7 linked regions of the Nothobranchius furzeri genome follow. The protein of the gene in region 1 interacts with the protein of each later gene in a pairwise test. Links are inferred from orthologs where the notes say so. Each region holds a gene or a part of one and is shown in the gene's direction. Other genes may lie near its edges. The genes, in order: disc1, cep63, traf3ip1, tubulin beta-2A chain, ccdc88ab, rabenosyn-5 and tnika.

The links.
Region 2: the proteins of disc1 (region 1) and cep63 interact in binary tests that used the Homo sapiens proteins (3 or more experiments, as listed by UniProt). The link is inferred for Nothobranchius furzeri from reciprocal best matches to the Homo sapiens genes DISC1 and CEP63.
Region 3: the proteins of disc1 (region 1) and traf3ip1 interact in binary tests that used the Homo sapiens proteins (3 or more experiments, as listed by UniProt). The link is inferred for Nothobranchius furzeri from reciprocal best matches to the Homo sapiens genes DISC1 and TRAF3IP1.
Region 4: the proteins of disc1 (region 1) and tubulin beta-2A chain interact in a two-hybrid assay, tested with the Homo sapiens proteins (2 studies listed by BioGRID and IntAct). The link is inferred for Nothobranchius furzeri from reciprocal best matches to the Homo sapiens genes DISC1 and TUBB2A.
Region 5: the proteins of disc1 (region 1) and ccdc88ab interact in a two-hybrid assay, tested with the Homo sapiens proteins (2 studies listed by BioGRID and IntAct). The link is inferred for Nothobranchius furzeri from reciprocal best matches to the Homo sapiens genes DISC1 and CCDC88A.
Region 6: the proteins of disc1 (region 1) and rabenosyn-5 interact in a two-hybrid assay, tested with the Homo sapiens proteins (2 studies listed by BioGRID and IntAct). The link is inferred for Nothobranchius furzeri from reciprocal best matches to the Homo sapiens genes DISC1 and RBSN.
Region 7: the proteins of disc1 (region 1) and tnika interact in binary tests that used the Homo sapiens proteins (3 or more experiments, as listed by UniProt). The link is inferred for Nothobranchius furzeri from reciprocal best matches to the Homo sapiens genes DISC1 and TNIK.

The regions. Positions count from the first base shown.
Region 1 is NC_091752.1:2,333,753-2,337,252, forward strand, and holds part of disc1 (disrupted in schizophrenia 1 protein), read left to right. Parts: coding exon 1-10; intron 11-1,346; coding exon 1,347-1,416; intron 1,417-3,246; coding exon 3,247-3,403; intron 3,404-3,500. UniProt on the Homo sapiens protein: Involved in the regulation of multiple aspects of embryonic and adult neurogenesis. Required for neural progenitor proliferation in the ventrical/subventrical zone during embryonic brain development and in the adult dentate gyrus of the hippocampus.
Region 2 is NC_091756.1:60,714,983-60,719,189, forward strand, and holds the start of cep63 (centrosomal protein of 63 kDa), read left to right. Parts: upstream 1-1,407; 5' UTR 1,408-1,560; coding exon 1,561-1,601; intron 1,602-1,701; coding exon 1,702-1,879; intron 1,880-3,439; coding exon 3,440-3,535; intron 3,536-3,614; coding exon 3,615-3,704; intron 3,705-3,773; coding exon 3,774-3,878; intron 3,879-3,989; coding exon 3,990-4,163; intron 4,164-4,207. UniProt on the Homo sapiens protein: Required for normal spindle assembly.
Region 3 is NC_091754.1:2,499,749-2,503,999, reverse strand, and holds the start of traf3ip1 (TRAF3-interacting protein 1), read left to right. Parts: upstream 1-1,451; 5' UTR 1,452-1,550; coding exon 1,551-1,673; intron 1,674-3,227; coding exon 3,228-3,296; intron 3,297-3,918; coding exon 3,919-4,080; intron 4,081-4,251. Other genes in the region: agr1 (anterior gradient 1), read right to left, coding at 1-54, 205-341, 773-876, 1,356-1,451.
Region 4 is NC_091751.1:51,905,167-51,909,364, forward strand, and holds the start of tubulin beta-2A chain, read left to right. Parts: upstream 1-1,398; 5' UTR 1,399-1,536; coding exon 1,537-1,593; intron 1,594-1,882; coding exon 1,883-1,991; intron 1,992-2,806; coding exon 2,807-2,917; intron 2,918-4,198. UniProt on the Homo sapiens protein: Tubulin is the major constituent of microtubules, a cylinder consisting of laterally associated linear protofilaments composed of alpha- and beta-tubulin heterodimers.
Region 5 is NC_091752.1:26,282,881-26,286,953, forward strand, and holds the start of ccdc88ab (girdin), read left to right. Parts: upstream 1-1,273; 5' UTR 1,274-1,494; coding exon 1,495-1,557; intron 1,558-1,652; coding exon 1,653-1,753; intron 1,754-4,073. UniProt on the Homo sapiens protein: Bifunctional modulator of guanine nucleotide-binding proteins (G proteins). Acts as a non-receptor guanine nucleotide exchange factor which binds to and activates guanine nucleotide-binding protein G(i) alpha subunits.
Region 6 is NC_091755.1:54,608,129-54,610,388, forward strand, and holds part of rabenosyn-5, read left to right. Parts: coding exon 1-122; intron 123-234; coding exon 235-305; intron 306-391; coding exon 392-478; intron 479-569; coding exon 570-672; intron 673-1,989; coding exon 1,990-2,094; intron 2,095-2,171; coding exon 2,172-2,260. UniProt on the Homo sapiens protein: Rab4/Rab5 effector protein acting in early endocytic membrane fusion and membrane trafficking of recycling endosomes. Required for endosome fusion either homotypically or with clathrin coated vesicles.
Region 7 is NC_091758.1:22,730,007-22,733,940, forward strand, and holds the end of tnika (TRAF2 and NCK interacting kinase a), read left to right. Parts: intron 1-2,860; coding exon 2,861-3,000; intron 3,001-3,122; coding exon 3,123-3,206; 3' UTR 3,207-3,434; downstream 3,435-3,934. UniProt on the Homo sapiens protein: Serine/threonine kinase that acts as an essential activator of the Wnt signaling pathway. Recruited to promoters of Wnt target genes and required to activate their expression. May act by phosphorylating TCF4/TCF7L2.

The DNA.
Region 1 (3,500 bases):
CTACACCAAGGTGGGTGACACTCATCGTGTCTCTTTGATTCACACATTTCATGCTACAGAGTTAGCAATCATATAGGTGGCCAGTAATGAAGATCAGAAGTGGGATCAAAACCAGGATCAGTTCAGAGCAGAATCTGAATCAAAATAATGATCAGGATCTGATTTTTTAATCAGATCAAAATCAGGATCAGAATCAGATCAGTTAACAGAATCAAGATTATTATCTTAATTCGAATCAGGATCTGAATCACAACCAAGATCAGAATCAGGTTTGGAATCAGAATCAAAATCAAGATCTGAATAAAAGTCGAGATCAGAATTAGGATCTGAACTTTAATTTGGATCAGAATCAAGATTATTATCTTAATCAGAATCTGGATCTGAATCACAACCAAGATCAGAATCAGGATCAGAGTCAGGATCCAAACTTTAATCTGGATCAGAATCAAGATTATTATCTTAATCAGAATCTGGATCTGAATCACAACCAAGATCAGAATCAGGTTTGGAATCAGAATCAAAATCAAGATCTGATTAAGAGTCGAGATCAGAATCAGAATTAGGATCTGAACTTTAATTTGGATCAGAATCAGGATTATTATCTTAATTTGAATCAGGATCTGAATCAGAATCAGGATCCAAACTTTAATCTGGATCAGAATCAAGATTATTGTCTTCATTGGAATCAGGATCTGAACCAGAATCAGGATTAGGATCAGATTTTGAATCAGAATTGACCTCCTCAGCAAGGAGACAAATATTCCAAATAAGAATCAGAATCAGTTTTAGAATTGAAACTGGTATTGGGATTATAATCAGACTTTAAATCAGAATCAGAATTAGTAACAAAATCAAATCTGAATGCAAATAAAAGTTAGAATTAAATCCAGAATCAGATTTAGGATCGGTTCAACAGACCAAATGTGAAGCACTCATAATGAATTTGGCTCTGGTTGTTAGTGACTCTTAATTAGATTACTCATTTACAGACATAAATCTTAATCTGGGTTAACCCCAACCTTTTAACCTCAGAGTTCTGTTGTCAGAATCAGACTTTTTTTGAGCCGAGTGTGAAAGACACACAAGGAATTTGGCTTCTGCTGGCGGTGGCTCACAAACAGAGCAAATATTTACTGACATAGCCTAATATAGAGGCAGCAAACAATGCAGACAGTGTGTATACACGTTCAGTAGATCTCTGTGCTCATGCTGTTCAGACGCAGATTTCATTCATGCTTAGATAATAAACACAGTCACACATTTGGGGAATGCATCATAACTATAATGTGAAGCTTTAGTGATCTGATTATAATAATCATAACGGTGTGTACCTTTTCTTCTCAAAGATTGAGTCCATGATGTTAAAGCTGCAGCGACTGCAGCAGAAAGCCATTCTGGACGACGATTACGATGCAGGTAAACTTTAAACTAGTAATGAGTAGAACTGTCGATCCCTCCCTCCCTCAGAGGGTCGCATGCGTGCCGAATGAAAACTTTTGTCTTTAACCCACATCACCTGCATTATCCGTAGATTTCAAATGAATGAAAAAACGGTCTGGTCAGAAACAAAGCCTGGCTCTTCTACGTCACAGGGAAAACTAGTATTCATAGTCCCCGCCTACCTCTGATTGGGACCGCCCATAGAGAGAGCAGAGCGCGTTTTGGCTAGTAGAAGCTAACCATTAGCATTAGAAGCTCCACAACAAAAAATAACACCTTCAGGTTTGTGTTATTGGTGGAGATAAAACACCCAAGTTGTGTTTTTATTTTATTCTGAGTTTTGATAACCCTCCCACTGTCCTAGTGGGTGTGACCCCGCGGGGCCACACCCACTAGGACAGTGGGAGGGTTAATAAAGTAAGATTTGTGTCATCAATCGTTGTGGGAGCAACAAGTCATCTCCATGCCGTGTTTTTCTTCAGTTCGGCAACTAAACCAGGTGATTTTAATCAGCACAGCGAAACAACCTTGTTCGGTTGCTGAGCAGAAGAAAATCACGGCATGGAGAAGACTTGTTTCCCATCTCTGCTGTCAGCAAGTCAGAGGTTGTATATGTTTGTGTATCATGACTATTAAAGGCGTGGTTCACTGAAAAAACATTTTTAATGACTATTTCTGATCATAATAAAGGTCAAGAGCAGCACCTCCCAAAGTTAGCATCACAGTTTGAGATGAAGCCTAGAAATCAGAAACAATGAAATAGTTATTAATTCCATATTTTCTCTGTAACTGATGTGTATATAAATAACAACACAGATGCAATAGTTATTTTACTGTTAGAAATATTTTCAGCTCTTTAGGTTTGAGTAAACACTGAGAAGGATTGAAATCAGACATAGGTCCCAATTGTATTTTTTTTGTTTGTTTTTTAACCAGAACTGGGAAAGTTAATCCTATTATCAGACCGTCTTAGTAACTGAATCTAACTGCCATGTGGGATCAGAGTTTTGGCAGAATCTTTTTGGAATTTTGTCCTACTTCCTTTTACTTTGGGAAGTGTTCGTCTTTTAATTTTAAGCCTCTTTATACATTTATTTTATGCAAATATTAACAGAATTTATTAGGGATGCAACAATACCACAGTTTTCCAAACGGATACTGATACTTGGATCTGAGTACTCACCGATTACCAATACCGATACTTTACCACACAAAAAATGCAATGAAATTAATAAAATATAAAATATTCTATATATAAAAATAAATGTATCAATAGAAATGATCACTAAACGAATATATTAGGTGAACAGAAATGACAAGTTACAGCGAAGCCACTTTCAAGCAACTGCATTGGTATCGGTTCCTGGTATCGGTCAACTTATACCGATACCAATATCGGTATCGGTGCATCCCTAGAATTGATCATTTTATGCATCTTATGTTTTTATTGTTTAAACTAAACATCACAACCATCCAGTTCAATTCTCTGTTCAGATATTTACGTCTCTGCTTGACCCAAATGCTTCCCTTCCAGACCAAAGGGAAGTTTATTTTCAAAAGTGTTGTGACCTATTTCTCGATCCTCGTGACATAAACAGTTACATCAGATACATCTGCTGCAACGTCTGGGTCAGAACAGCACAACTGATCAAATTTACAGTTTGCTTTTTGGTAAAAATGAACTTCAGATTTATTTACTCTTTGTTTTCCGACAGATGTGAGAGATTGCAGATTACAACAGTAAAATATCTGTTTGTGCTTTGTGTACCAATCAATGTGTGTGTGTGTGTGTGTGTTTTATTTTAGCTGAGCGCTTTGGGAAGAAACTGGAGGAGCTGTGTAGAGAGCGTGGAGCCCTGAAGCTTGGTTTACCCTCCAGACAGCCCAGCGTGGCTTTGTTCCTGGAGAGGCTCAGACAGGTGGTGCACGGCGCCATCCAGAGGAATGACTGCAGTCAGCGCAAGTCAGTAATTCAACCACACCACATGCATCTCACAGCAAGAGGGTTCCTGTTTCTCAGCTGAGGCTTTCAGGTTGAATATTTATGCAGTAAAATAAAA
Region 2 (4,207 bases), on another chromosome or scaffold:
CCTCTGAGATGATCCGAGTGAGTTCCGATCTAAAAGTCTGTCGATAGGAAAGATGTCAGAGCTGATGTCAAAGTTCCAACGCTGTCTGTCTTTCAATCAAATATCTTCAGTATTAGAAACCGTTTTAAAAGGGAAGAATTTGTTTAGAACCAAATTCTATGTTCATTTCAAATACCATCAAAATGAATCACTTAAATCCTAAAGTTGGATGCTGTTGGTTTTTTTATAAGCTTGAGTGAAACACAAAACAGCCATGGTCAGATAATAGTTTGTAATAAAACAGATTACTTACAGGTGATGTGTGTATCTGCGGTGTTTTCTTTTAGGTTTGTGCAGCTCGGTGTCTGTGCTGTGAATGATGTCAGAGAGCAGCTTGCCTGCCTCCTGCTAGAGCGTCTGTTGCGTTGGTGGGGGCGAAACAGCCAAAAGCCCTCCCATGAACAGCTGGGGATGCAGAGCGGAGGAAACGCTCTTTGTTTAGTTTGAATGAAGGCAGGTGGAGAGATGGGTGAGGAAGGGGGAGTGGTAAAGGAGGGGTTGATGAACGTTCCAAAGTAGGTGATGTGTTTTGCTTTTTCCTTAACCATAACACATCCTGATAAAATGTTTCTCAAAAGACATATAAAGAAAACTTAGCACATCTGGGAATTGAACCCGGAGTCTCTCGCATTCAATATGAGAATCATACCCCTCTACCAACAAAATGCTGATGTGTTAAAGGAACATATGTATATTGTAGGTAATAAATGTTTCATGTTTTCTTGACATTTGTGCTGTTGAAGCATCGGTTCACGATGACACCTTGCTCGCGGGATTGCGGTAAAAACGGAAAAGCTATCATGATATCCCTCTTCCCTAGCCATGGCCAAGCAGATAATTTATACAACACTCACGCAGCGACACAGCGACCAATATGTTCGGACAGCAGACCGCCGAATTTTCAAATCACATTCTAAATGACCATGCTAAAAATTATGGGCTCGTCCGGGATTTGAACCCGGGACCTCTCGCACCCGAAGCGAGAATCATACCCCTAGACCAACGAGCCACGTGTCCGGGAAAGACACATAAAATAATTTAAAGTTAATTTAAAGTGATATGTAGTTTTTCTGTAAATGTACTGTTTTAAAAGTATTATTGTATTTTTACACACTATAATAGAATGTCTAATTTCATGGAATTTCAGACGTACCTTCACGTTACACGACATCTGAATCTTAAGCCGTGAGATTAATGTGTTTGTTTTTTCTTTAATTTTCCCTCCCAAACCTTATTTTTAAAGTCGAAGACCAAATAATAAATTACATTTTTTAAAATGTTGCCTACGTAAAACGTAATGAGGTCACAGTTAGAAGGCGGATGTACCGCCTTGGAACCGGAAATTCTTTGTAAAGAAAAGCAGTTGAACGCCGAATAGTGTTGTTGACGTAGCGATGTCATCAAACTTGTTTATACTCTACAACGTGCCGGTCTTAGCTTGTAAGGACAATCTGGATAGAGTCCACCGTGTTGTAGCACCTTAGCGCGCAGAGGGGACAGACGGCGCCATTTTTGAACGAGATGGAGGTTTCTTTGGAATCAATACAGAATCCTGATATAAGGTAACAGACGTTTGGTTTGTCGTGAGGCTAAGTCAGCCATCTTTAGATGCGTGTTTACACAAATGAAGTTGATAACACGCTTTAATCTTCTGCTACGCAGCTCTGTCCTGTCCTCATGCGAGCCTGAGCTGCAGGAGCTGATGAGACAGATTGACATTATGATCAATCATCAGAAGAGGGAGTGGGAGGCTGAGCTCCACGCTCTGCAGCTCAGGGTCACCAGTGGAGAAGAAGAGCTTTTAACCTCCAAGACTACCATTGAACGGAGGGATCTGGAGGTGAAGTGACGATTCATCCTTTTTTGCTCAAAAGAATCACAAAAGTAATTTAATCAACACAGAAGCTTGTAATAAAAAAGCAAGCATGCCCTTATTTTGACATGCAGCATTTTGAAGGTAACATTTTTCCATCCCATTTCCAATTCCAAACATGGACTCTCCTGCTAAAACAGTTTTTATGGCCACTGTCTCCATTTCTGGCCTCACCTAATGTTGGAGACTTACTAAATTATTCCTTAAATGATCAGAAAGCCTCTGCTATGAAGATTCGTTGTACTCTCAAAACAAAACCTCCTGCAGATTCAATTAAATGTTTCAAAAATAAATGTAAATGTGTGAGGATGTTGGTTTTAGGACATGTTTTAAACCGTAAGGAAGGAGACAGTAAATAGTTGTGGCATGAAGCATTTTATCTCTATTCCCATAATAACACCATCACCTATTCAATCAATCAATCAAACTTTATTTCAGACAAGGGATATGTCCATAACAAGAATAAAAAAAATAAAAAATAAATAAAAAAATAAAATACAAACACATTCTAATTACAAACCATATAGGCAGTTGCTCCAATGTTTAAAAAGGACTGAGGAGTACCTCGTGTCACTGTAAGATAAAGATGACAGAGCTCTAACAACCGCGTTAGCTGACAAACTCAGTCGGCAGATGAATTTGTACATGAAGAGCCTCAGAAGCGCATGAAAAGTTGGGATGTTACTCGTAACAAACATGTGACTTGCCGAAGTCCATCTAGGGAGCTTCATGAGGATTCTAAAAGCATCCTGATAAGCCACTTGAAGCTTCTTCATTACTACCTTACTATAGTTGCACCACAAGTGGGCGGTATAGAGAGGAGTACAAAAGGAACGAAAGAGGGACACTTTTACAGGATCTGAGCACATGCCAAAGTTACGTGCCAGAGTGTTAGCCTGCATGTACAGCTTACCACACTGCCTCTTAATGTCCTCGTCATCACAGAGGTCACTTCTTAAAATGTGCCCCAAATATTTTACTTTGCTTACCACTTCCAGGACCTGATTTGTTAAGTTAAAAGATGGAAAATTAAGCTTCAGGTCCCCTTTAGTAGCAGCAATCATAACCACACTCTTTTTAGGGTTAAACAGGATGTCAAATTGCTCACCATACTTAGCACATGCCCTGAGCAGCTGCTGCAGGCCTGCGCTATAGGGAGACATGAGGACTAGGTCATCTGCATATATTAAATGATTTACCAGTCGGTCACCCACCAAGCATCCAGTCTTACTAGCATTCAGAGTAACAGACAACTCGTCAAGGTACAGGTTAAAAAGGACAGGTGACAGAATCCCGCCTTGTCTGACTCCATTTGATACGGAGAAAGGTTCAGACACTTCTGTCCCCCACTTTACCTGCATCAGTTGATGAGAGTACCAGAAGTGCAAAATCCTAACTAGGTAAGAAGGGACCCCTCTGTTTTGTAGCTTGATGAATAATTTCTGATGATTGACTCTGTCAAAGGCCTTAGAGGCATCTAAAAAACACATAAAAACAGAAGTATTATGCCTCATGTATTTGTTGCAGATTGGACTTCTTCACAAGCAGCTTGAAGCCGTTCAGACGGATCGGCAAGAGTTGGTATCCAAGTACGAACAACAACTAAAGAGACTCCGTGAAGAGGTGTGATCATCTGTTTTTCCTCAAATGCACTCAGCTATATCGCTTGTATCATGTTTATTGTTAACATCGTTTCTTATAGTTGGACAAGTTGAAGAGAAGTTACCAGAAGCTTCATCGCAAACAGCTTAAGGAGACAAGTGGAGGTGGAAAGGAGACTGAGCTTGCAAAGGTGAACTAATAGATTTTCCTGGCATTTCCATCTCCTGGAATTTGATTAATCGTTCTTACATTGGTGCAGAAGCATCAGCAGCGCTCTGAGCAGCAGCGAACTCGGTACCAAAACCAGCTGACCACACTGGAGCTCCAGAATAAAAGCCTGAACCAGGAGCTTGCTCACTTAAAGGTTAAAAAGCACATTTATGACTTTCACTCAGGAAGCCAGACATATTTAGTGTATAAAAGTGTGGAAGACTGCTGCATTGTTGTTGCATTTCAGTAATATTTGTTTTTCCAGAGCCAATGGGCATCGGGGCGGGTGGAGAGGGAACACAAGGAGTGCTGTTCAGAGGTGCAGCATCTGCGTGCACAGCTGGAGAAGGCTCAGGCCAGCCTGCACTCACAGGAACTGGAACTGGATCGCCTCAGACCGCTGGAGGTGCTGTTGGGACAGTCCCAGAGAGAGCAGCAGGTTAGCAGGGCGACAGGAACATGTGAGATGTGTGGCTTCTCAGC
Region 3 (4,251 bases), on another chromosome or scaffold:
TTTCTTCTAGGCCCTCTTCATAACTTTTGACCCATTTGATATTATTCCCCCATCCTGAACAGAAAATACATTTAAACATGTCCTGTTTGCTTTTATTGCGCCCTTCACAAGCTGAATTCAAACTCAGGTTGTGTGCTGGGACTAAATCGGTCAATCTGACTGATGAATGATCAGAAACATGGAGGCTGAATGAGAGCGACCCACCTTTTGACAGAGATGGAGCCTTCTCCTTCTTCTTCTGTTCTTCTGCAGCGGCACAAGCGCCGATCAGCAGAGCAAACACAGCCCAGTGAAGCATCTCCTCGTCCTCTGGAGAACCAGACAGCTGAATAAGGCGTGCACTTTTAAAGCACAAAGCATTTTTTGAACTCTTACACCCGCAGAGCTCACTGAAGGGCTTCAGCTCTGAGTCACCAAACAAGTCTGACAGGCCGGCGCGATGATGCCGCGAAGGAAGCTTGTTTTATGTTACTATTATTTTTATATTTTATTTTATTATGGATGACATCATCACAGCTGTTTACTGTAATCAAAATAGGAATGAGTCTTAATGTATTAATGCAGCTTCTTATTTAATCTCAATCCAATGAACTATTGTACCTTTTTTTCTTTTTGAAAGAAACAGCATGTAACTTTGCAAGCCCTTACGTAGCATTAAATGGTTTAAGCATTACATTTCTATTCTGAAGAGCAGCGAACAACTTTCCAGCTGAAACTGAATCTGAATTTTCTGATTTTTGGCTACTGAAGTCACTCGTAGTGGATGTCTTACCTGTCCAGCGTGAAGCAGCAAGCGTCTGTTTGAGCTGTTCTTCTCACCTTACCTTTTGTCAGACTTTTAACCGAACTTGCCAAACGGGTAAAACAAGCATCCTGCTTTAAATGAAACACAAAGAAAGGTCTATGACTTATATGAGACATATTTGCATGCATGGGAAGTTTGGGCACACCTTCATACGATTTCATAATTCATACTTTCATAAATAAAATTCTTTGAAACACTGACTCTAAATGTAGTATTAGTGCTTGTTTAATAAATCCAGTTAGAAAATGCTTCATTAATCCCAGATGGAAATTAAGTGTTGTTGTGAATAAGGAAACAATAATAAAAACAATAAAATTTAGGTATCTATCTATCTATCTATCTATCTATCTATCTATCTATCTATCTATCTATCTATCTATCTATCTATCTATCTATCTATCTATCTATCTATCTATCATCTGTCTGTCTGTCTGTCGGCCTAATCTTTATTTATTTTTGTTCTTGTGAAGCACGTCGTGGTTTTTATCTGGAGATGCGCTGTATACACGATCGTTTTCCTTATTTCGTTTCTTTCTACATAGCTAGCTACCGTTGCTATGGACACAGAACACCTAGCAACCGAAAGCCTATGGCGCATGCGCAGCTTTCGTTCGCGGTGCACTGTGGGATTGTTGGATATTGACATAGCAACGGAGCCCCAGAGCCGCCTAGCATTCGTGTTTTAGACCAGTTTTCGCCCCTTTTCTAGCAGCTAAATTGTTCAGTTGGGATTTCATCTGCCGCCATGAACGCAGCGGTGGTGAAGAGGACTCAGGACACGCTGGGGAAAGTCATAAAGAAGCCGCCGTTAACGGAAAAACTGCTAAACAAACCGCCGTTTCGTTACCTTCACGACATCATCAGTGAGGTGAGACCGACTAAGGACAACAGTTACGTTTAAAGACATTTTATAAAGTTAAAAACTGTATATGAAGCCCTTGCGTGTGCTTTATTATCTGTGTCCATGAAAGGGATAGCTCTAACCGGACAACCCTCACCAGGAGCGAGTTAGCTTAACCGCAGCTGTTCAAAAGCGGTATCACTGCATTTCTCCTCTTCAGCACCCAGAGCGAACACGCGTTAAAGACAAGCAGCTGCTAACGTTCATTATTATGACTGTACATGTTTAGGTTGTACTTGCTTCACACCTGCTGCCGAGCAGCTGACCACAGCTGTCTTGTTGGATGCATAAGTTCTGCCTTTTTGTATTTAATGTACAGCAACATTTGATCGACATCTAGATGTTAGATGTTTACAAACGTAGGATTCACCAGTGTAAGTCGTAGGTCTGGATAAATATTAAAATTTGTATTTTATTTGTAGTATCAGCTCCAAATAATGACAGTGTAAATGTCAAAAAGTATTATTATTTCAATGATTGTCCCTTCTTAAGACAAAACTTACTCTTGTCTAAGTAGAAATGGCAGAACGAGGGTAAAACACAAAGGCAACATATTTTGTACATCAAACATTTTCCTGTTATCTTCTGGCAACTGACGTTTTCTGAATAAGGAAAATTTAGAATATTTAAGATTTTAAATAACCAAAAACCGGTTTAAAATACTATTTATTTGAATAATGTATCTACACAAGAATTAGAATCATAATATATTGTAGAGTGCAGTCTGTCGTACTGTTTGTGTTTGGGGCATCATTAGATGCTCTTATTTTGATGAGCCACTCTGCTGTTTTCCTGATTTATTTTTGACTGACGAGCATTTCCTAACTGAATGAGTATTTGTGCAGAAAAAGTGTGTTTTCATTATTTACCTAAATTATTTAGGTTATTATTCTTCCCATAACTGAGCATCTGTGTGTGTGATGTGTGTAGAACAATATGACGTCAGCTTCTTGTGTTAAACCCTTTTTCTGCTCATGTTTGTGTAAAAAATAAAATCGTACATTTGTGTTTGTGTACATGCTTAAGAAAGCAGAACGGGTATTCACAAACAGGATATATTAGCAAAATGTATATAACTGCATGAACTAAATAATACATAATATATAATGTAATTTTAAAAATATTTTCTTTAAAAGCATGTTTTTTTTACAATTAAACTCATATTTTAACTCTTTTCTTTAACAGATTAGAGACTAAATCTATTTTCTAAACAGAACTGAGATCTTATTCTCTCACCACACTGGTTGGATGGTTTTATGTTTCACTCTAGCTTTATTTATAATTAATTGAGGTTAGCATTCCTATAGCAATATTCTTTTATCTGACTAAAGGAATTCAGTTGTTTAAGACATACTTGATTGAAAATTAAAACATTTTGCAGCCATAAGTCTGCTTTAAGCTTGCTTCCATAAAATCAAAAACATTTTGTGTTAACTTGTATTAGAATGATGTAGGTTTTGCAGAAGCACCTATAATATTTGTATAATAACAGTAAACCTTTATTTTCCTCTTGACTCTAAGGTAATCAGGAGCACTGGTTTTTTGAAAGGCCTCTATGGAGAAAATGAAATGAAGTCAGATAGTGTAAAGGTAAGCTTACTCTTGCTATATTTACTTGATTTTTGACCTTTTTTTCCCCTGAAAAGACTAATTTGTTCAGGATTACCCCCGTGTGTTTTCACTGGGCAGCCTGAGTCACCAGATACGCCGTCTGGCAACACTGTGAGCTAGAAGATCTGGCAGGCAGAGACTGAGTGTTTGTCGAGGTGTCAGAATGCTAGTCTGCTATTTGCAAGGCGATCCTTGATTAGGACTGAATGAAAGAGAGCTACACCGAGTCTTCTCTGCTTACAAACGTAGCTGCACGCTGCCCGTTTCTTACTAGTGAGAGAAATGAGTTGTTAGTGTTGTGTTTTACATTTCCTCCCTCGAACAACGAGGTAACAAGCGGTTAAACCCAGTCACTCTGGGGGTAAGATTCATATTTCAGTTTCATCACTTCAGCTGTCAGGAGTGCAGAGAAGTCAGTTTGACCAACAAGTCCTCCTGGTCTTTGGTTTATCAGTTTACTGACCTGCTTTTGCACAAAACAAATGATGTCATCATTTCTTTTTGGTATGGAACCAATTTTATTTAGATTTTGCCTTTAATCAGTTTATATTTTAAATGTTTTTGTCTCGGTAACGGCTTTTTTCATTATATCTCATTCTAGGAAAAGGACTCAAAAATAACCTTTCTTCAGAAAGCGATAGATGTCGTGATGCTGGTGACCGGCGAGCCTCTGGCGGCCAAGCCCGCACGGATCGTTGCCGGCCATGAGCCGGAGAAAACCAACGAGCTGCTTCAGGCCATCGGCAAGTGCTGCCTCAATAAGGTCTGCATCACACACACACGCGCGCGCACACACACACGCACGCACACACACACACACACACACACACATGCACTCACACTCACACACACACACACACACACACACACACACACACACACACACACACGCGCGCGCACGCACACACACACACACACACACACACTCACACTC
Region 4 (4,198 bases), on another chromosome or scaffold:
AAAAACAATAAAAAAAGGGAAAATCATTTGGGATTTAGTAGTTTATCTAAAAGGTAGTGACTCGTTCTCTTCTGCAACAGAATCCCGTGACAGGGAGGATGTTAGTGCTGGATTTCGTAAGGAATCAGTCAAATGAGCGTGCTATTGCAAGTGTTAGTGTTTGTCTCAGTGTGTGTACGTGAGCATTGAAGCTGTGTTTGTTCAACACCTCGTGCAAGATCTGTGACCAAGCACACATTTAGTGTCTCCTCTGAGAACTGTTACTTCACCTTCTGCCACACAGCTATTTCAGCGCTGGAGGGGCCACATCTCATCCATGCTCTCAATTTAGATATAAAAATTTTTCATAAATGCTACATTACCACCAGCGACAGGGTAGATTGACAGACATTTGTGTTTTGCGGAGGGGAAAGACAAGTTGAGGGTTTAAAAAAATGAAGGATCAGAAATCCTAGCACAGACTGGTGGAGCTAGTTTTGGAGAGGAGGCAGAAACGCTGCACACATTTCAGGTTTTGCTTTCTCTCAGCCGTGCAGATTTGAATGAATGTAACAACCATGGATTGTACACTTGTTTGGTTTCATTTTGTTATTTTAACAGGCATATTGCACTTGTATATAAGCCATACCTGTTGTTAAAATAAACCATTATTTATTGATGAAGCTGGCTCTGAGGGATCTGTTGAATATTTAGCCGTTTTTTTTTCTTTTGAGATATTAAAGATCTTGATCTCATGAAAAATAAGTATTTTTCTTGTAAATTATTGCATTTGCAGCTAAGAACTGATTATCAACCAAGCAGAGCAGAAAATGATCAAATATATTCAAAATCAGCTCATTGCTGTACCAGATGGACCTATTGAGTGAAGACGAGTGATGTTTTTTGTTCATATGTCACTGAATTTATCACAGAACCAATTAAACAAAGGGGCTAACAAATGTCCAGACTCTGATACTTTATTGTTTTTGGTCTTTTATTTGGGCAAAAAGCAAATATTTAAATGCAAAAATTTATTTTTGAGTAAATACAAAAATAAAACAATGCAGGCAAGTCAGACTACAAACTTTGTGCCAGAAAGCTGCAAAAATTGTTGAATAATAAATAAAATCCGTCGTTATTTGTGGAGATTACATGTTTTGTGATGATTTTTGTTTAGACATGTTAATGAAAATGTATTTATTTGCTTGTGTCATCATCCAGACTGATTTGTTTGACATTGTACTGATCATGTGCAGAACAGTCTCGATCCTGCAAAAAGAGGCGAAATTTTCCATGTTTGGGACAGGGTGGTGTCACGGGGTGCAGGGGTGGGTGGGTGATGCGGCAGGATCCTCCGCTATACTGCATCAAACCGGACAGCTCCTATTGGCTGGAGCGGATGCTGCGACGCGCTTCGCGTCATCCGATCAGCAGTGCGTCCATCCTGCTATTTCATCGGCACTCCACTGAAATTAAACAAGTGCTGAATCTGAGAGAGACAACAACAAACCGACGGAACGAGAAAAGGAAGCACCGAGTCCGCATCTGCAGCTCAGCATGAGGGAAATCGTTCACATCCAGGCTGGACAGTGTGGAAATCAGATCGGGGCGAAGGTAGATTATTATTATGATTACTATTCTTTATATGGGGTAAAACTGCGTGTTTGACTTTATTAACAGTTGACAAAGTCAAGTCGTTAAAATCATTAAAAAAAAGTTTAAAACTGCTGAAGCAGCTGTGTTGAAGGGTGGGGTTCAGTTCGTCTGGTCCAGCGGCTGCAGCGGTGTGGCCCCCAGCTGAGTCCAAAAGCTGACGCACATGCTCCAACATCGTTTTCTGATCGTGCATGTTCTTTAAATCGCTCCCAAACAGACAATCCTACACATATTTGTCTCATGTTAGTTCTGGGAGGTGATAAGCGATGAACACGGCATTGACCCTACCGGCAGCTACCAAGGTGACAGTGATCTGCAGCTGGAGAGGATAAACGTCTACTACAATGAGGCGTCAGGTAACAAAGCCTGTTTTGCATCCAACACTGTTGACACGATCATTGCATGCTTTTAGCTGCACATAACTCGGATAAATACAACATTTCCATATTTTAGTTGAGCAATATTTTAAAAAATGGTAAAAATAGGACAATGAGCTTGCTAAAATCTCTCTCTCTCTCTCTCTCTCTCTCTCTCTCTCTCTCTCTCTCTCTCTCTCTCTCTCTCTCTCTCTCTCTCTCTCTCTCTCTCTTTAGGGAGCACAGGTATCTGCAGTCTCTGCTGACTTCAAGCAATTTTCCTCAAGTATCTTTGGATGTGCATGGCATGTTTAGTTCCAAATGCATCTTTCTTTTATGTTCTGCTTCTAATTGGAGATTGAAGTTGCAATTTTTGGTTTTCATAATTCAGGATTTAGACAAATCAAACATCTCATTTACGCCTTGCAATGAAATTAAACACAGCTGTCTTGTTTATCCTTGGCGTGCATGCTGATCCGTTTGTTTTGAACGCATGGGGAAAAGAGCATATAAATGCCTAAAATAAGATAGATTATTAGGGTTTTGCAACATTTAGTTCAGCAGTGAAGAGGACTGCTGAACGTTTGTCTGAATTCACTCTGCAGAGATCAGCACATTGAAAAGCCCCCTGGTCCTGAAGAAGCAGCACAGCATGCTGCAGCAATTTGCTTGCAAGAAGTGACAGCCCCACTGAATCAAGAAGATAAAAGTTATTAAAAAAATAAACTGTCTTGACAGGATTTACTTTTAAAATGCAATGCAAGAAAATGAAATAAATAAATGCATTCATAATTTTTCTTCTCTTTTCTGTAAAGGCAGCAAATATGTCCCACGTGCCATCCTGCTGGATCTGGAGCCTGGGACCATGGATTCTGTACGCTCTGGGCCATTTGGACAACTCTTCAGACCTGACAACTTTGTCTTTGGTGAGGGAGGGTGGGGGTGGGGGGTTAATCTAAATGCAATCACTCATCTTGAACCGGCTGCACATGCAGCATTAAGTCAGCAGCTGCTGTCACATCCTGTAAATCAGTTCCTTAGATTCACCAGACAGCCCCACACATCTCTGTAATGTAATAATACACCGCTTCTGAAGCATCTAACTAATATGTCACTATTATGGGATGCTCTGTCTACAGGCAGCAGCTCTGACTCTGATGTGCCTGGAGACCTTAATAAATATAATCTCCCCTCCAGAAAACATGAATGTATGATTTGTGTAGAAACACGCTGAAAGTAAATGTAGCCAAGTTGGCCAAGAAGTTAGTTCCTCTGCCTAATTTCTTTAGGTGTCAACAATTAAGTAATAAATCATCGGAACCAGCAAATAATGCAATTGCCAAATAATTTTCAAATATAGCAATAAAAAATTATGACATGTGTAAAGTAATTTTTTTGCTCACAGTGACGAGACTTTGCTGTTCTTCTTGTGTTTTGAACACAGCGAAGGTGTTTTCATATAGTAACATGCTAATGTACGATTTGTAATCATAACTTCAGTCCCAAATGGACATGTTTTTGACCCAGGATTAACATTAAATATAATGTTAGCTTCATCTGTGTTGTTCTGTGTTGACATACAAGCTACAACAATGGAACGCATTTCAATTACAGGATAAACACAGCATTATGTAGATCATTTGCACTTGAACATCATATCAAAGATCAATTACAGTCAAAGACAAATTTTAAAATCATGTTTTGAACAAACAGTCTGAATAACCGTTAAAGCTAGCTCTAATGCTACTCCCAAAAACCAGGGTTCAAATTACGGGGGAGCCACGGGGAGCAAGGCTCCCCCAAAAGGGTGATGGGCTGCCCCAGAAGGCCTCAACAACACACCCAGGGGAGCTTGTAAGTATTTGGAGCCCTGCCGGAAATTAATGAGAGGGTTAATATTTCATACCAAAAATGGATTTGATCAGACAATAATCATATATCAGATCCTTAAAACACAAATATTTGTACAACCACAGCATCTATATCCTGTAACTATGCAGAATTATACAGACAGTCCAAATAAATGCACTTTCCCACATGTTATGGGGATATGACCTCACCTGTTTAGGTCGTTCTAATACCAGTGCTGAGCCCAAGGAAAACTGGTCATCCAGGTCTGGAGTCAATGTGGCAATTACAGAACACATTGCATTGCTTTTTGCTGCTTTTATTTTCTGCTTCTTAATCATCAAGCATTACTTAATTTT
Region 5 (4,073 bases), about 24 Mb from region 1:
GAAGCTTTTACGGTTCGTGCCTTTTTCTTTACAGCAGCGGCCCAAAAAGATCTCCTAACACATGGATTTTCTAATTCCTGATCATGTGATGTGTGACATACACAGATGAAGATCAGCGAGCTGAGATGTTTGTTTTCACGTTGCGGGGGCTCATTCCTACGCCCACACAGTAAAAAAATGCAAATGATGACTTTAGTCGTCACTGGCAGTTGGATTTAAAATGATGACTTTTGTCGTCAATGGCAGTTAATGAGTTAATGAAGTTTTTTTAAGTAGCACAGTGACCAGCAGACGGTTGATGACGCAATGCTCCCTGTCCAAATTCTGCAATCATTTGCACACTTGTGCACCACACACTCGAAGCCTTGCTGTGCACTTCTTCCAAGCACACTTCACAGAAGGGCACAGTGCGAGTATTGGGATTGGGCCTCATTCTCTATTTCCCCAAACTGAGGTTGTTAAAGAACCATCTGGAACAGGAAATGCATTATTCAACATCCCCACAGACCCCTTCTAAGGATCTGAATATTTTCAACCTTTTTTTTTTTTTTAGATGTTTATATAGTGATCTGTGACATAACCCACCAGGTGTCAGTATTTTACCTCCATTATGATGTCTAATGCATGCTGCAGAGGCAGACAAAGGAAGTGCATTTATGCACTGTTACCCTGCATTTCTGCGTGGAAGTTAAACCAAATAAGCACTTAAATAGTCAGTATTACACACTGAGGTTATGAATCACAAGATTGGAGTTTTCATTCACTTTTCTTTTGAGACAAAGTGGTTCCATTACTCGCACTCAAACATGAGTGAATTTATTTTATTTGTTTGTTCACATGTTGACTAAGATCTTTTTTCTATGACTCAGAGGAAATCAGAGGAGAAAGGGAACGCTTTGATTAATGCCCTACTTTTCTTTGGGAGGAGGAGGGAGATGCGCAGGGAGGGAGGCGCGGCTCTACGTGTCCTCCAGTCATCCTCTCAACTCTCCAGCAGCAGCTCGGTGGTGTGCGGCGTTTGGACGCAGACAGCCAGGAATCCGCGTCTGGAAGTCACTTTATTTAAAAAAACAACAACAACAAAAAACTATGAGGTGGAACCCGATCATTTCCGAAGCTGGATTTGCAACATCTGTTTATTTTTCCCTCGCAGCTGGACCTTCTTTTACATACCCGAATTAGGATTATTTCTCATCTCTTTTCGTCGTTTAAATATTGAACGCAACGCGGACTGATCCTTAAATAACAGAAAACCTTAAGGGAATGCGGTTTTTGAGCACAAAAATGTGATTTCTTCTTCTCCCACCCAGGAAGAAGTCTCGTCGGCGGCATCTCCAACAGCTGGGTCGGTTTGAGAAAATTAGTGATTATTATTATTTTTTAAATCCTCGTAAAGTAAAGCCTGGATTAAAACGTGGAATTATCAACATGAGAGGAGTTTAAATCATTTTTTAAAAATCCCAATTTGTTTGAACAAACGGCTGAAGGTTAAATATGGAGAACGAGGTTTTCACCCCATTACTGGAGCAGTTCATGCTCACCCCTCTGGTCTGCTGGGTAAGCACCCTAATTAAATATGCTAATGAGTGTTGACTCATTAAACAATCACCTTATTTCGCCTGTTAATTGATCGCACTCCTTTCTTTTTCCAGGTGAAGACCGTCGGGCGGTCGACAGTGAGCGATGGCAGTAAATTATCGGAATATATGGAATTAGTGGATGGGATTTACCTGAACGAGTTCATGCTGGAGATGTAAGTAAATCTGAGAGTTGGAGAGCCGAACCGGTCAGTCCTCTGAGCTGGCCTACATAGAGGCACGGAATTAGCCAATTGAGGGCATGCAGACATCAAACCAGAGATGTGCAACAACCTACAGTCCATGTTTTATTGTTATTATAGTGGAGGAGGGTTAAAATGATGGTCATCCTTACACGAGACAGCAGCCTCTGTCCAGTTGAGCTGAATGGAGGCTGCTCACAAAGAGGACCCTGTGTTGGTGGGAGTGGGTCAGATATATTAACACTTAAGATGTCTTTTGAGCTTGTGTACACCGGTGTCAGCTGCATGGATGCAGCATGCCTCAGCAGAAAACTAGACTCATTCCCTTGAAGCTGCACCCTGCTGTGTTGTTGATTAATCCTAAGGAGAAACACTCTTCCCAGCACACACACCATGCATGAAAATTTTAACTTGGATGGTGCAGGGAAACAAGAGCACGTTTTATTTTTATCTAATTAAAGAAAATGTAGCTTATTTGTAAGATCTACTGACAGTGCTGGATTTGTGAAGGACTGCATGTCGAATTTGTCTCTTTCCTGAGACCGTTTCTATATGTGGCATGACAGGAGAAAGATTTCTACTTCTTTGTCTGGCTGCAGGTTGCCACTTCCTGCCAGCATGATCTGTTAAAATACATTTTTTTTTCCATATTTCCACTAATGCCAGACTCTCCTGTCAGCTTTTCCCCTGCTTGCCAGTTTAAGGAGCATTCAGTTTTGCCTGCTCCCTGATGAATAGGTTTAAAAGGGATTTATGTGCAGCACATCTCGTGTTTCCTCCCATTGGTTTGAGCCGAGACAACCTCATATCTAATGTATTTGTAGAACATATAGTTGATTGATCTTATGCCTTTTTAAAGAGTGAGAACAGTTTACGTACAAAAAACATGCTTATTATTGTAACAAGTCACATTTATAGCAATAATAACTTGACAGGACAATTAAGAGGACACTTGTTTTGAGCTCTCCGATTGTCCGTTTGCTATAAGCTGCCTCAAGTTTCAACAACCTCTTCCATCTCCCTCTCCAGTGATTTGGTTCTACTCCTGAGTGCTTCTAGTCTCTCGCCGGCTCCAAATAGAATCATGTTTAGGAAAGCAGTTTTTAGGTTTAGAGCTTTCCTCGTTTACTCTGTGTGAAAGAGTAAAAACTGTATTTCCAGTGCATTTTCCCCAGTGGAACATTGGGTAATGGGTAAGCAACTGGAAGGATATGGGGGAAGGGTTGGAGAATGAAGCAAGATGGAAAAACCAAAGGACAATAACCTTTGACATGAAAAAGACAAGTCTGGGGTTTACAAATGAATATGTGCTACCCAGATACGCTGTAGGATCTCTGTGCTTATGTGCAGTGGTGCTTAAAAGGTGGCTAGAAGTGAACTGAAATGAACCGTGGTTTGTCTGACAGGATGTTGGGGATTGGTAGTCACAGCCAACACTGTGCTTCTGTGCATGGATATCTCCGAGGCTTTTGAGTGTGTGTGGGAGTATGTGTGTTTGTGGATTTTTTTTCCTTGCACATTTGGTTATGGACTGAGGCAGCTGTTGGTAGTCGTCTAGCCCAGCCACCCTCCCACACACAAAGCACTACAGTACTGGTCAGAGCTTGTGTTTGTGTCACTGGTCTTTGTCTGTTTTCTCACTTAATGAGAAATGGGTCTCAGTGACGGATATATCATTTGTTTACACATCTACATCTGCTGCTGAGACATTTTCATCCCCTGCTGCTGACAGGTGAAGTGCAGACAATGTTTTTGTCTGTTCTTTAGCAAAATGTCATGATTCACTGGATGGGTTTTAATTGAAACTCACAAAAAGTGATCAGTGAATGAGCATCTACAACTGACTATTGAATCCAGGGGTAGACTTCTTGTTGGTCCTCGTCTACACAGTCCACATAGGTCAAGACCTTCCTCGATCACCAAGACTTGAATTGAGCGGCTGTGAATTTGGTCTAGCTTTCATATTTATTGCCGTCCCCACTGCAGCATAATGTCTTTTTGCCTAGCAACCGTGATGGCGCTAAGACCCTGTCCCAATACTCACACTTCCACTCTGGTGCCCCTGGTGCAAATGCAAAGGGTGTCCTAATTCTCCACAGTGGATCTTGGCCCCACCCCTTTATGCAGCTTTGCTCTGCACTTTGTTAAAGTCTGCACTGATGAAGACTTGTATTACCCACAATCGGTTGCTGTGTGTCAATTCTGAGACAAAAATACATAAAAAAAAATTTAGGTCAGAAAATGACCGCCTGGGAAAATTACAGTTTTAATATAGTTTCACTGTTTTGAATTG
Region 6 (2,260 bases), on another chromosome or scaffold:
TTCTGGAGGAGAAGGACGATGAGAAGATCCGCTGCTGTCACCACTGCATGGACACGCTGCTGAAGAGACAGCAGAAGTTGGATGAGAAGGATCACGTTCCAGATGTAGTGAAACTTTATGAGGTTGGTCTAACAGTCCCAGAAAACTTCCCTTCAGCTACAGTTCTGTTCTTTTTGTTTACACTGCTGTATCCTTCCTGCCACTTCCTGTTTACTTTCTGGGCTTTCCTGCCAGAGACTCAGGATGTGCATGGAGAAGGTGGAAGAAAAAGCTCCAGAGTATATTCGAATGGCTGAGTCTCTCAAGTAGGCACTATTAAAAAGTATTGATGTAACCATTTCACATTTGTTTTCATTTTAATCTGACAATGTTTTACTTCTTCCTGCCAAAGTGCCGGAGAAACCACCTACAATCTTGACACGGCAGGTGGACTGAGGCTGGAAGTCCAGAAGTACTATGAACTAATTGATGCTCTAAGGTACACATACGCTGTCACTAATACTTCAAAGTGAAACACAGCTGTCTAAGTTTAAGAGTTCAACAGAAATCTTTGGTTTTAATTTCCCCAGCAAGAAGATTTTAACACTAGGAGTTAAAAACAACCCACCGTCGCCCCCGAAAGCACTCCAGCTTCAGAGGATGATACGATACATGGCAACACTCTTTGTCCAGGTGAGACCAAGTGAAGACAGTTGATGGCTTAAACACAAAAAAGCCAAACTGAAGTTTTAGCCAAAGAGGACATGTAAGAGCTGGGAATCGTGGCTTAGTTCAGAAGTTTATCAAAATGTGTTTGATATGTTTGATACAATCTGCCAACCCAATGGATTTGTAGCTACCATCTGGGAAAATGGAGCAAAAGTCCAGTTATGTCAGTAATCCAACTTATGTTTATGTATTTAGCAGACGCTTTTGTCCAAAGCGACTTACAAGTGATAATCGGCATTTTGCCTTGAGGCTAACAACAATAACAACAACAACATTGACATCAGTCATGGAGAGTAGGGAACAAAGGAGTGGACAGTAGAGAGGGGGAACGGGTGCAGGCAAGGTGCTAGTTAAGAAGATGCTCTCTGAAGAGCAGGGTCTTCAGGAGTTTCTTGAAAATTGAAAAGGAAGCCCCTGTTCTGGTAGTGCTTGGAAGGTCATTCCACATTTGTGGAACGATGCATGAGAAGAGTGGATTGTCCTGAGCGTGGTGTAGGCACTGCTAGCCGACGACCCTGTGATGACCGGAGCGGCCGGGCCGAGACGTAAGCCTTTGCAAGAGGATTCAGGTAGATGGGAGCCGTACATCTCGGACTTTGTATGCTAGTGTTAGCAATTTGAATTTGATGCGTGCTGCTAGCGGTAGCCAGTGGAGCTCAATGAACAGAGGGGTGACGTGTGCTCTTTTGGCTGATTGAAGACCACACATGCCACTGCGTTCTGGACCATTTGAAGAGGTCTCACAGTACAGCCTGGAAGACCAGTTAGACTGAAAGACCATCTAAAGGCTCAGGAACCCTTTGCATGTATTTTGGATTCATTAGATGATTAGAGTGTGACACTCTGAGTCTAGAATATTGACTCTTTTTGACTTTTCACATTATTTTAATCATCTGAGATGTTGAATGTGTAGTTTTCATAAGCTGCACTCCATTATCACCATAGTTACAACAAATAAAGGCTGAAATATCTGGATTTGCATGTAAGGAGTCTATCCCACTTATTAAATAAATAAATTAACTTTTGCACCGTATTCTAATTTTTGGAGTTTCGCCGGTATGTGTCAGACCCTCCAGGATGCCCCCAGATGCTCTCTAACCAAAGGGGCATTGTTAAGTTGAAATCAGTTAGATAGTTTTACCTGTAATCGGCTCAGTGCTAGGTAAGTGGGTTGGATGTCTTTGCTAGTTATTGTGGGGTTGTGAAAGATCTGCCTCACATGTAGTAGAAGTGAGGATTATTAGAACTTTTGTTCCCTTTTTTGTGTCTTCTCTGTTTTAGGAGAAGCTGCTGGGCCTGATGTCTTTACCCACTAAAGAGAAGTACGAAGAGCTGAAAGACAAGAGGAAGCAAGAGCAAGAAAGGAGGCTCCAGCTAGAGCGACTGGTGAGAATAAGTTCCAGTCTGATGTTTTTTCGCTGGACAAACTCGTTTCTAAATCTGGACTTTTATCTCTTGCTCAGCAGGGAGCTCAGGAGTCTCTAAAGAGGAGACAGGAGTCTGAGAAAAACCGTCCACCAGCCAATGGGGAGCTGCTACGGGCCCCTCGAGA
Region 7 (3,934 bases), on another chromosome or scaffold:
TCAAACACCATTGTTGCATTGGTATTTAATGTAAAATATTAGATACATTTTAAACAATTTATTTACTTGTAATTTAATCAATTAATTAGTTAAAGATTAACTAATGTATTTACATATTTTCTATTAAATTAGATGGTTCAAGTCAAACTTTCTTTCACCTATGATTCCTCAAATAAATTAATTATTTTAGGAATCGTGATACAAAGGACAATACTTCTACGAATAACAATTTATTCAACTAAAAGCACTACAAAAACAAAAACCCTGACAATTAAAGAAATGCTTTACATGCTGCAATATTTGCCCTAGAAAGGAATTAAATGATGGTTGAGGACAAATTAGTCCCAAAGTAGTCCATGGGACAGGAGAGAGGTAGTTTGACCCCCTGTTCGAGGTTAGACAGACAATCATGTAAATCATTTGGGTTGATTTGGTCTTGCCTTCTTCAGAAAGAGTGGTGGTTCTCCTAGTGGATAGATTCAGCTGCCCCTTCTAATGATTTATTACTTGGGGGTGCTGCCTGTGATGAGGATGTACTAGATATCCTGAGTTTGTTGTAGGCGTCAGATGAGTCTGAACAGGAACTAGGCTAGGGACAATCTCTCTCTCTCTCTCTCTCTCTCTCTCTCTCTCTCTCTCTCTCTCTCTCTCTCTCTCTCTCTCTCTCTCTCTCTCTCTCTCTCTCTCTCTCTCTCTCTCTCTCTCTCTCTCTCTCTCTCTCTCTCTCTCTCTCTCTCTCTGTGTGTGTGTGTGACACTCCTGTAGATAAAAGATGTTGTGTTTTCTCAGACCTGTGCTAAAGGAGTCACTAGAGGTTTAATGGAATACTATATTTGTTTCATAGCACCATCCACACTTGAAAGGCCCCCACAAATAAGAGCAGCCTTGATTATTGCAGATCAAAGGTAAAAAATAATGTTATAGAATATTATAGAACAAAAAATAAAAAAAGTTGTATAAAATAATCAGACTTACCAGTGGAAAGGAAAGAAGGGGGAGTTTGGTAGGCAGAAACAGCCACTTATGCATCTCTGGACCTTTTAAATTCCCTGTGATTTACTGCCCTCATTTGGCAGGGAGGGGGATTACACGTGCAGACAAATGCAGCTGCATGGACACTCACAGGCCACTTTATTAAGTACACCTGTCCAACTCCTCGTTAACACAAATGACTAAAAAACCAATCACATGGTGGCAACGTATTGCATTTAGGCATGATGACATTCAAGACGATCTGCTGCAGTTCAAACTGAGCTTCAGAATGGGGAAGAAAGATTGAAGTGACTTTGAGCATGGCATGGCTGTTTGTGCCAAACGGGCTAGTCTGAGTATTACAGAAACTGCTGATCTTCTGGAACTGTCACGCACAACCATCTCTAGGGTTTACAGAAAATGGTCCGAAAAGGGAAAACATCCAGTGAGCAGCAGTTCTGTGGGTGAAAATGCCTTGTTGATGTCAGAGGCCAGAGGAGAATGGCCAGACTGGTTCAAGCTGATAGAAAGGCAACAGTAACTCAAATAACCACTTGTTACAATCAAGGTATGCACAAGAGCATCTCTGAGCATACAACACATTGAACCTTGAGGCAGAAGCGCTACAGCAGCAGAAGATCACACCGGTGCCACTCCTGTCAGGTAAGAACAGGAGACTGAGGCCCTGTACACACGTAGCCGGGGATCTGCCAAAACGTAGATATTTTTCTACGTTTTGGCCTGTCATCCACACGAAAACTGAGTTTTTTCACACGAAAATTGATCTTTTTAAAAACTCCGGCCAAAGTGAAGATCTGCGTTTTCTCCGTTTTGGGTGTCTGCGTGTGGACGGACAAAACCGGAGTTTTAAGGTCCGCAACGTCACTTTCCGCGACAAACAATGCTGACATCACGTGTGCGACCTGTGTTTACACTAGCCGACAGCATGGATGCCCTCAGAGCTGCGCTCGCTTTATCAACTGTCCAAGAACTTTTTGCTCGTTTGTTTTTGCAAGCAGAATTACTGCTCCTTGCGGAAGACCACAGACGAAGGACGAGGTTAAGAATGGGGGAAGTACTGCCGCCTACGGGTCTGGCATGTCCTTAACAACGTATTTATCCGGGTACATGTGGACAGAGTTTTTTTTTTAAAAACGAGGTGGTGTGGTTGCAAGTTTTTGGAGGGGCGGATTTTAAAAAAAAAACCCGGCCACGTGTGGACTAGGCCTGAGACTACAAATCACAGGCTCACCAAAATAAGACAATAAAGGAGGGAGGGGGGGTGGGGGCTGGTGCCGGTGTCTATCTCCAGTGGTCAATGGGCAATCAGGCAGGGTACACCCTGGACAGAGTGCCAGTCCATCGCAGGGCAACACAGAGACACACAGGACAAACAATCATGCACACACACACACACTCTCACCTAAGGACAATTTAGACAGACCAATCAACCGAACAGTCATGTTTTTGGACTGTGGGAGGAAGCCGGAGTACCCGGAGAGAACCCACACATGCACAGGGAGAACATGCAAACTCCATGCAGAAAGATCCCAGGCCGGGAAGCTAACCCAGGACCTTCTTGCTGCAAGGCAACAGCTCTAACCATTGCGCAGCCCATTCAACAGTTAATGGAAAATGTAATTTTTTAGATAAAATATTGGCTCATGAACTTGACTTCCAGAGTTCAGAGGTCTTGTTTGATGTCAAACCTATCTCAGTAATATACTTTTTATATTGTGTAATGTGCAATAACAACAGGGGTTGCTCAACAAAATGCCTGTGAAACCTTAGATCTCCCCCCACAAATATGACAGAAAGACGTGACTTTGCAACTGCAACTATATCATCTTTAAAAACATTTCTGCAAATTTCTGCTATTTTTTTCCAGCCTATATCCGTTCGAATCAGATAATGGGTTGGGGTGAGAAAGCCATAGAGATCCGTTCTGTGGAGACGGGCCATCTGGACGGAGTCTTCATGCACAAACGAGCTCAGAGACTCAAATTTCTGTGTGAGCGGAACGACAAGGTAATTACAACACAGAATCTAGAGGGTGGTTCTGATGACACAAGCGATCGGGTATATTTGATACTATAGATGACAGAAATCCACAGAAATAAACATTTGTGTTTATGTTCTCTTTATTCCAGGTTTTTTTTGCATCGGTGCGTTCTGGCGGCAGCAGCCAAGTATTCTTTATGACACTCAACAGGAACTCTATGATGAACTGGTGATGTGTCTCATCCGGTCTGCCTCACTCATCCGACGGACAGTCGGAAAACCCACCTCTCGCCTCGCTGCACATCAAACAAAACAAACCTGACTAATCAGGGCGGCCATTAAAGAACTCTGTTAACACTGGAGAGACTTTTACGGTTTGGAAGAAAAATATATATGAAGAGACTAAATATTTTATGGTGAGTTTGATCATGCAGACGCTACTCAAATGACTGGAACCGACTTCCTCCATCTTCTTCTTTTGTAACAGCACTTTGTTCCACTGGATTTAAGAGTTTTCTATTCCCTTCTCCCTGTTCAGATCCCATCATCGCTTTTGTACTCTCACTGCCATGTTCTCGATTTTCCTTAATTTCCTTTTCACAAAGTACGGAAACTAGAGTGAATGAATGGAATTTAATCTAAATTCAAAAGTACTTTGGAATGAAAAGATTACAAATGTTGTTTGAATGTATGTGATGAAAGCTGCAGCCTCCATTTCTGGTGCTCTGGGCTTCTCTTGTTGCCCTAAGACGTTTCACCTCTTCGCGTCAGTTCAGAGAAGTAGCCCCCCCACTCTGGAACAGTATTTCTTCCATCTTTATTTTCTTCCAACCATTCCTCTTTTTGGCTATTTTAAAATCTGAAGGTGCTGCATCAGTAATATTTCAGTCTTTTTCTTTCTTCATGAAATAGTTTTGAGTCAGTCAGTCTTTGACACTTGATGACGCATATTGCACGTCAA